2 linked regions of the Nothobranchius furzeri genome follow. The protein of the gene in region 1 binds, or shares a complex with, the protein of each later gene. Links are inferred from orthologs where the notes say so. Each region holds a gene or a part of one and is shown in the gene's direction. Other genes may lie near its edges.

Region 1 (4,087 bases):
ACCAAAGGTGACAGATCATTTGCTGCTGTGGCCCCCAGACTCTGGAACTCTCTCTCCCTGAGCCTGAGATCAGTGGACTAAGTGGTCTCATTTAAGCAGCAGCTGAAAACGCATTTGTTCAGGCTGCTTTGGCGTGACCTTGGGCTGATTCTTCATCACTACCTTCTCCTCAGTCAACTTTTTCTACCAATTCTGCCTTTCCTGGGATCCACTGATTACCTCTTTCTTATTCATTTTCTTTTTCCTCATAGTTTTGAAATCACATTTTTTTGTCCACATTTCTATATTTTTAAATCTTTTTATTTTTTTTCTTGTGAAACGCATCAAGATTTTTATCTTGAGAGGTGCTATATAAAACTATTCCTTCATTTTCTTCTGACCTGTAGACTTCAAATGTCGTGTATCTGCCCATAACCACTTTGCTGACCACAATCCTACACATTGCGATCCCAAACAGCTGTGTTAAGTTCTAGATAGCTGTGTACATTGACTTTCATTCATCGTTTTGACCGACTATAATATCATGTCACCACTGAAACTCACCTGGTGCTTTTTCTAAATGTACCAACTCATTTAATCTGGGTGCTTCATTTGTACTTATTTATTTTGTTTTTTACATTGTTCAAATATCTTTTAGTTCACTTTGTGAAATGTTATAGTTCCAAATGGGTAGGTATAGGGCTCAGATAAAGGATCACCAAAACTCCCAAGATGCAAACTTTATCAACAAATCTGCAGAACATACCTGAAATTAAACCAACTGAGACTGAAATACTGGGAAACTTTCAATTCAATGTGGCTAAAATAAACAAATACTAATAAAAATAAACCTCTATGCAGTTTTAGGTTTGTTACATGTATGTTTGTAACAGTAAGAGCAGAATGCAAAGTCACATGTAAGTTTCTGACATGCGCACAATCTTTAACCACCAGACAATCATTTTCTAAAACCAGACCAAAATAATCAGTTATACCTATTCAACTAAACAACTAATTTAGGGTTAAGTCAGTGTTTTCCATTACACACATACAGCCCTGAGACTGATTAGCCACCACTAACTTCCGGTTAACGTTTGCTAACCGGCAAACATAAGAAACCTAAATATTACACGGCAATATCACTATGACAAATACATTTAATTTACAAAATATTACCTCAAGATACCAAGCGGACAAAACAACCGTGTTGTCACGTAATTTCTTAGCGAATGTTGCCTTTCCCGATTATTTCCTTACTCCGAAAGCTCTGGAACAAGACGTACCAACCAACATTAATGCCACTTCCGGGGAAGTAGATGACGTAGCGGAAGTTGTTCGAAGCTCGGCGCTTTTCTTCAAAGCGCCCCATCTGCTTTGGTATCTAATTTTTGTGAGTGACTTACATCTTTGGTAATAGTTTTAAATGTCATTTACGGAAAACTCTTAATAGTGAAAAACATCTACCGGAAGTCGCAGCGTCTCTTTTATTTACAGCTTCCGTGTTAATTTTGTTGTTGCTCGGCTAGCTACGTTCTATGTGCGTAGATGCTTTTGTAAAGCACCCAGGAATTAACACACTTGAAGTGAAACCTACATGTTACTTGTCTGCATTTTGATTCGCGATGTAAAAAACTGTTTATGTATTTACATGGAAAAGACCTGCCAGGAAACGCCAAAAGACAGTAGAGTGGCAGGAATTTGTTTTTCTTTCAGCTGTATTCCTTTACAAGACTCAGCTGAAAGAAAAACACTCAAAAACATAAGATGGGCAAATTATTATAAAGATACTACATTCAGAACAAAATACAGAGTCAAAGAAAATTAAAATATTATGACTTGTGTCCCTAAATGACCAGACATCACAGGAGACACAAAAACAATCTGGTGCAAAACACCTGCAAACTGTAACATTAGCTGTGTGTGTCCCCTGCTGTCCTGAAAGTAGCATGGCCTGGCCTGTTTTTGCTTGTTGACATGGCAAGTTCTGATAAATAAAATATAATTTTATGATAATATAACTGTTTTTTTGAACTCTTATCTTTTTATTTCAGTTCTGCAATGCCTCTGTCCACACAATCTCAAGGTGAAGATGAGCAATACATTTTAGTGACCAGTTTAGATAATGCCCGCAATCTCTCCAATTTACTGAAAGCGATCAGCTTTAAGGACCATGCTGTTTTCACCACAACACCCAACGGCCTGAAAGTCACCGTCGAGGACTGCAAATGTGTGCAGGCAAATGCTTTCATTCAGGTGTGTTTGGTGCTTTTTAAAAAGTTAGTATATTTTTAAAAGAAATCTTTACTTTTAGAATGAATCCCAAATAAATGACAGTTTGCTTGAAACCCTAAACAAAAGTTGTATCTCTTTAGGCAGACATTTTCCAAGAGTTCACCATAAAAGAAGATTTGATCACTTTCCAAGTTAACCTCACAGTTCTGCTCGACTGCCTGAACATCTTTGGGGGAAGCACTTCAGCAGGTCAAATCAGAAACTGAAACTCTATTCCAAACACCTGATGTACAGTTTTAAATGTTTATTTAACCATTTTATAAAATTGCAGGAATTTCAACAGCCTTGCGGATGTGTTACAAAGGGTACGGATACCCCCTGACATTATTCCTGGAGGAGGGTGGTGTAGTCACAGTCTGCAAGATTAACACTGAAGAACCAGAAGAACCGATCGATTTTGATTTTTGCAGCAGCAATGTCACGAACAAGGTTCAATCCTCTGTGAAATCTGTTGAAAAATAAGATAAAGAAAATAATATATTAGTCATTATGTAAAGAAATGTGCTATCCTTCATTAAATCACACCTGTAAAAACACTAAAGCATTTTTAATCTGGTGTAATTTTAAAGGTGATCCTGCAGTCGGAGAGTTTGAAGGAAGCCTTTTCTGAGCTGGATCTGACCAGTGAGATGCTGCAGATCACCATGTCCCCCAGCCAACCGTACTTCAGGTAGACTGTCCAAATTATACTCAGTATTTACTTCCTGGAGCAATCTTTTGCCAGCATTCCATCCACATCTTCCATCCTTGCCCCTACTAGACTCTTGAGTTTCATTTATCACAGATGCCTCTTTCTGTCTAATGGATGATCTGTTTTTGTCCAACTTTTCAGGCTGTCTACATTTGGGAGTTCTGGAAGTGCCCATTATGATTATTCTAAGGATTCAGATATGATGGAGCTGTTCCGGTGCAAGGAGACACAAACCAACAGGTGAGCGCAGTCAGGCTGTAAAAGTGCTTTTATTACATCAGTGGTGTCTCACGGTGCATGTGAGACACTATCCAGCATGTTTTAGTTGTTTCCAGCTCCAACACACTTAGTTGAATGACTAATCCTTCATTTACTCTGAGTGCAGAACGGGAGCTGTACGCATTCCTGTCAGGAAATTTACAGATCCACCCAGATCCTGATACGGAGTTATTTCCAGATGACACAGATTTTCATGAAGTTAAAGAAATTACATTAGCCAGACAGGAAGTGAGACGTTGGTGAACAAAGTGCATCTGGTATATTTTAAAATAAAATGTGTGTTGCATTGTTTTATGGCGTTTTTATTATTATCAACAGGAAAACCAGTACACAGTATAGAATAGCTCGTGTTAAATTTACAGGTATACATTTGAATGTATTGTGTCAGATTTCTTACGTGAGGTTTGGTGCTCTCGCTGGAGCAAATTTCCAGAGGTGTTCTGCTGTTGGTGTACTTGGTCCGTACAGCGGCTGTGTGGAAACCAGATTACATCCGTTCCACACCCGGTGTAAGTCACCCGATTAAAATCAGGTGTGGTAAGGCAGAAGCCTCTGAAGCATGCAGGATGGTGGCCGTCCAGCACCAGGATCAGACATCACTGTTTCACGTAAAAAAGAAAAAAAAAACTGTCACATCACTTTAGGAGGAAGTTCGTTTCCATGTTACTCAGCTCCTGATATTAGACCCTGTAGAGTTCCTGCTTCCTTATGGTGGCTGCAGCAGAGCCACGTTCATTGTCTTTCTTTGCTGCTTTCATGCATCTGTGTGTGACAACAAAAATCTGGTTACGTTTTCTTGCTCTATGTTCCTCCTCCTGTGGCAGATACAAGATGTCCTTGCTTAAG
Region 2 (4,120 bases), on another chromosome or scaffold:
GAAAGTTCTTACATAAAACTTTATCTGACTTTGAGCTCCAGGCAGAAACTCTTCAGACTTTTATTTATGATCCCAGAGGTTTTAAAAAAATAAAATGCTTTAAACAGGGCTAGAGTTCATTTGAGTCTCGTCTGATTCTGGTTTAGTTTAATGAATCATAATAGATTTAGTAAATGAATGAAGAACCCAGTGGTTCTGGGAGGAACCCTGCCGCTGCTCCAGAGCTTTAAGGAGCTTAGGAAGGACCTAGACCTGTTTGGTTTCAGGGAAAGTTAAGCTTTTTATTTCTAAAGACCAAAAACAATCAAAACAACACAAGAACAAGGAAAATAGCAGACAGAAAAGGAAAGGTTAGAAAACACAAAACTAAATTTGATTTTATATATTCAGCTAATTTACTTCATCAAACAGCAAATAAAGAGAAGAAATCATGAAAGAAGAAGAAAATATCATTTCTATATTGCCTCTCAAGACAAAAATCACGAGGTGCTTCACAAAAACAAAAAATATAAAAAAGCATTCAGAAAATGTTTAAAAATATATTTAAAATGAGCAAAAAATAGACAAGAAGGGAGATCAGTGGATCCTGAGGAAGGTGGGGTAGGTGGGGAGAGCAGAACAGGAGAGGGTGATGAAGGACACACAAAGCCAGCCTGAACAAGTGAAATAGTGAAATAACTGATGAGCCTCCATACAGAATATCTGTTTATTGGTTTAATCAGTTCAGAGTTGCTGAGATATAAAAGGATTTTATGCTGAAATGAAAACAAATGAAACGGGTTTGTTTTGTCTGTAAATCAGGAGCATAAACAGGATCAGTCCTTTCATTTCGCTTTACTACCCATTCAGAACAAACCCCATTCAGAAAAATTATTTGAGATTTTAAAGTAAAAATAATGTATTATAACATTTATTTGCCTTTAAATTTGGATTTGACCTGCTATCAAATGAGGAAATAAAAAATTTTTGCTCTATTTTCTTCCTTTTTAGCAACTTTTAAAAACATTTTAAGACAAAACAAACTTTTTTTCTCATTTAACTAAAACATATTTAAATTAGCGCCCAAAACTCCTGACTCAGTCCAGAACCTCTGACCCAGGAGGTGGACCCACGGTGGACTGGGTCAGAACCTCTGACCCAGACCAGAACCTCTGACCCAGTCCTCATCTCTTTCTTCCCACCCTCCTGTTCCTGGTCTTTAATTCACTCGAACCTGATTTAAGGTAGAAATTGACTCCTAACTCAAGGGATGATCCAGAACCAACCATGTTTTTATCATTTTAAGTGTCGCCGATTTCTCTGTTAATAGGAACGTTTAACAGAGGAAAGCTGCTGTTTCCGTCGGACCTTTTTAAAGGCGGACACAACAAACTCCCTCCTTTCTCTTCTCTTTAAGTTTAGATTAAAGTTTTTAAAGTCAATATGAAGTTTCGGGGGAAAATCATCGACGTCGCCTGTTTAAACCACTTTAGTCGTGAGTTTTTATAAACGTTTGTCTGGCGGTGCTAACGTGTTAGTAGCTTATGTTAGCCTAACGTGTTAGCTTAACATGTTAGCTCGCTTTCTGTTTTGGTGTTGAGTTCGAATTAAATTATTTGTTATAAAAGCAGTGAATGAAAACCCGTTTATCTTTAAATAAAACATGTTCAGAGTCAGAGAAAACTTTACTATTTAGTCTGAGACGCATTACAGTCGGTCAGTAGTTTTAAAACGTGTTTGTGTCTCCAGGAGTGATCACCACCATCTCTAAGCTGACCAAGACGTGCGTCATGCGGCTGACGCCAGACAACCTGTTCTTTGTTCTGTCCGGTAAAGTGACCAACGGGGGGGTCAGCATGTGGTGTGAGCTGCATCAGGTGAGCTCAGGTGGCTCCTTTAGCCCGGGGGGGGGGGGGGGGGACCAGAACAACAAGACAGCTGTCGGTCTGACATCATGAATGCATCACAGGTGTTGGTAAAGCTGCGGCCCGCGGGCCTTTAGTGGTCCTCCACTTTAGTTCCAGAAGTGTGTTCTTAGTATTCCTCGTGTTTTATTAGCTTTTATTGATCGGTATTGTTATGGTCTGTTGTTGTTGTTGTTTGATTGGTCGTGTTTTAGTCCAGCCTGCGCGGCGCTTTGGGCGGCTCTCGTGTTGTGTTTTAAATGTGCTTTATAAATAAAGTTTCGTACGGTGAGAACATCAGAAAATGTTGAGCTTGACCCAAAGTCAATGGCGCTTTTCCTGGTAACTGAGAACACAAACGCATCACGAGTCAGAACCAGGGGCCTGATGGTACCAGAACATACTGGTATGAGGTCCAGGCCGTGACCGGGCTAATGCCAAGTGCTTCCTCCCTCCAGGCCAACTTCTTCGATGAGTTCCAGATGGAGGGCGTGTCCTCGGAGTTTAATGAGATCTGCTTGGAGGTGACGCCAGAAAACCTGTCCAGAGCCCTGAAGACGGTCCAGAACGCCAAGTCGGTCAAAGTCAAGCTGACCAAGAAGCACTGTCCCTGTCTGACTGTCGCCGCCGAGCTGGTGAGACAGGCCGAGGACCACGGACTCTGGTTCTGCTGCGCTGGCTCCATAAATGTTCTGATTCTCATATAAATCATCTCCAGAATGTTGAAGGTTCTGGTTTAGAGGTTCAGATGCAGCATACTGGTTCTGAGTTAGTCTAATCGGGCTCAGTTCATGACCCTGATCTCCCTCTGACCCGTCCAGCCCTCCCTGTCCAGCAACAGTCGGGTCGTTACCCACGACGTTCCGGTTGAAGTCGTTCCCCGGAGTCTCTGGCACGAGTTTAAAGAACCAAGCATGCCGGACTTCGACGTGAGCTTGATTTGAATCTTTGTTAAAGTTTTGGGTTCCTGAAGCGGGCCCGTCTCACTGCTTGTCTCTGCAGGTGAGCATCTACCTGCCGCCTCTGAAGACCATGAAGAACGTCGTCGACAGGATGAAGAACCTCTCCAACTTCCTGGTAGGATCAGTTCCCAGATGAGGAACTTTAACGGCCACCAGGTGGCGCTGTTGGGCCAGAACCCGTCAGTTCTGCAGCGATTTAAGAATATAATCTTTCATTCAGTTAACACTCAACAAAGGTGAAGATGTTTGAGTCAGCCAACAGAGAAACTGATCTGCAGCCTACGAGTAATTCTGTCAATGAGACTCGTTAGTTTAACTAGTTCCTGGTTAAAAATCCGAGTTAAACTTCCTGAAAGCCACATCAGGAGAGCTTAAGCTGCCGGTTTGATGCAGATTAACGTTTAACTCCAGGTGATGGAGGCCAATCTGAGCGGAGAGATGAACCTGAAGATCGAGACCGACCTGGTTTCTGTCACCACTCACTTCAAAGACCTGGGGAACCCTTCATGGGGTAAAACATCTGGACCCATCCGCCTACCGGTTCCTCAGATTAACCCCAACGTGGTGGAGGTCACCAGAATGACTCCTCATGTCTCCACAGGAGACGCCGCGTCGCAGGATGGCGGCGCGTCTCAGAGCAGGGACCCAGAGGCCATGGCGGAGGTCCGGGTGGACATCAGGAAGCTGCAGCAGTTCCTCGTGGGTCAGCAGGTCAACCCCAGCAAAGCCATGTGCAGTGAGTTGAGTCTTAAAGCAGTTAGAGCCAGAGGAGACCCCGCCCGGTGCTCCTTACAGGACTGATCAGATCCTAGCGAACCCAGCATGTGATCATGTCTAAAACCAGATTATTTCTGACTAGAAACTCAGATTACAGAAGCGTGTGATAATCTGAGTTCAGGTTTCTGGTCTCCTCAGACATCGTCCATCAGAGCGTGGTCCACCTGATCCTGCTGCACGATGACGTCTCTCTGCAGTATTTCATTCCTGCTGTGGCCTGAAGCTCCTGCAGGCTTCTGTGGAGTTTCAGTTGGGAGACAAAAACCGGCTGGAACCAGTTTCTCTGAGCTGGTCCTGTTGGTGACGTGAAGAGCCAATCAGCAGACAGGAATGGCTCTCCGTGGGTTTTCTGTGTTTAATAGTAATTCCGATTCCTGCCGAGATGACGGGAAAACTCACATTTACACGAGTTTGTTGGATCAACGTCTGATTAAATAAAACTTGTTTACAGTTTTGTGTTTTTATTACATTTATTTTTATTTTAGAGCTAAATCAGAA

What was found. The genes of interacting proteins can lie anywhere in the genome.
Region 2: the proteins of rad1 (region 1) and hus1 are in contact, whole or in part, in a crystal structure (PDB 8GNN), measured with the Homo sapiens proteins. The link is inferred for Nothobranchius furzeri from reciprocal best matches to the Homo sapiens genes RAD1 and HUS1. Residues at the interface, in NP_002844.1 of Homo sapiens: Asn85, Val88, Asp91, Cys92, Ser94, Ile95, Phe96, Gly97, Ser98, Gly127, Val128, Val129, Thr130, Val131, Cys132, Lys133, Ile134, Asn135, Gln137; in NP_004498.1 of Homo sapiens: Thr165, Ser168, Val169, Lys172, Met173, Asn175, Ile176, Glu197, Leu198, Val199, Cys200, Val201, Thr202, Thr203, His204, Phe205, Lys206.

The regions. Positions count from the first base shown.
Region 1 is NC_091746.1:58,354,899-58,358,985, forward strand, and holds the start of rad1 (cell cycle checkpoint protein RAD1), read left to right. Parts: upstream 1-1,279; 5' UTR 1,280-1,369; intron 1,370-2,030; 5' UTR 2,031-2,037; coding exon 2,038-2,232; intron 2,233-2,351; coding exon 2,352-2,460; intron 2,461-2,542; coding exon 2,543-2,700; intron 2,701-2,840; coding exon 2,841-2,941; intron 2,942-3,103; coding exon 3,104-3,202; intron 3,203-4,065; coding exon 4,066-4,087. UniProt on the Homo sapiens protein: Component of the 9-1-1 cell-cycle checkpoint response complex that plays a major role in DNA repair. The 9-1-1 complex is recruited to DNA lesion upon damage by the RAD17-replication factor C (RFC) clamp loader complex.
Region 2 is NC_091747.1:63,761,731-63,765,850, reverse strand, and holds hus1 (checkpoint protein HUS1), read left to right. Parts: upstream 1-1,313; 5' UTR 1,314-1,422; coding exon 1,423-1,474; intron 1,475-1,728; coding exon 1,729-1,856; intron 1,857-2,341; coding exon 2,342-2,518; intron 2,519-2,704; coding exon 2,705-2,812; intron 2,813-2,885; coding exon 2,886-2,960; intron 2,961-3,256; coding exon 3,257-3,356; intron 3,357-3,446; coding exon 3,447-3,581; intron 3,582-3,760; coding exon 3,761-3,843; 3' UTR 3,844-4,076; downstream 4,077-4,120. UniProt on the Homo sapiens protein: Component of the 9-1-1 cell-cycle checkpoint response complex that plays a major role in DNA repair. The 9-1-1 complex is recruited to DNA lesion upon damage by the RAD17-replication factor C (RFC) clamp loader complex.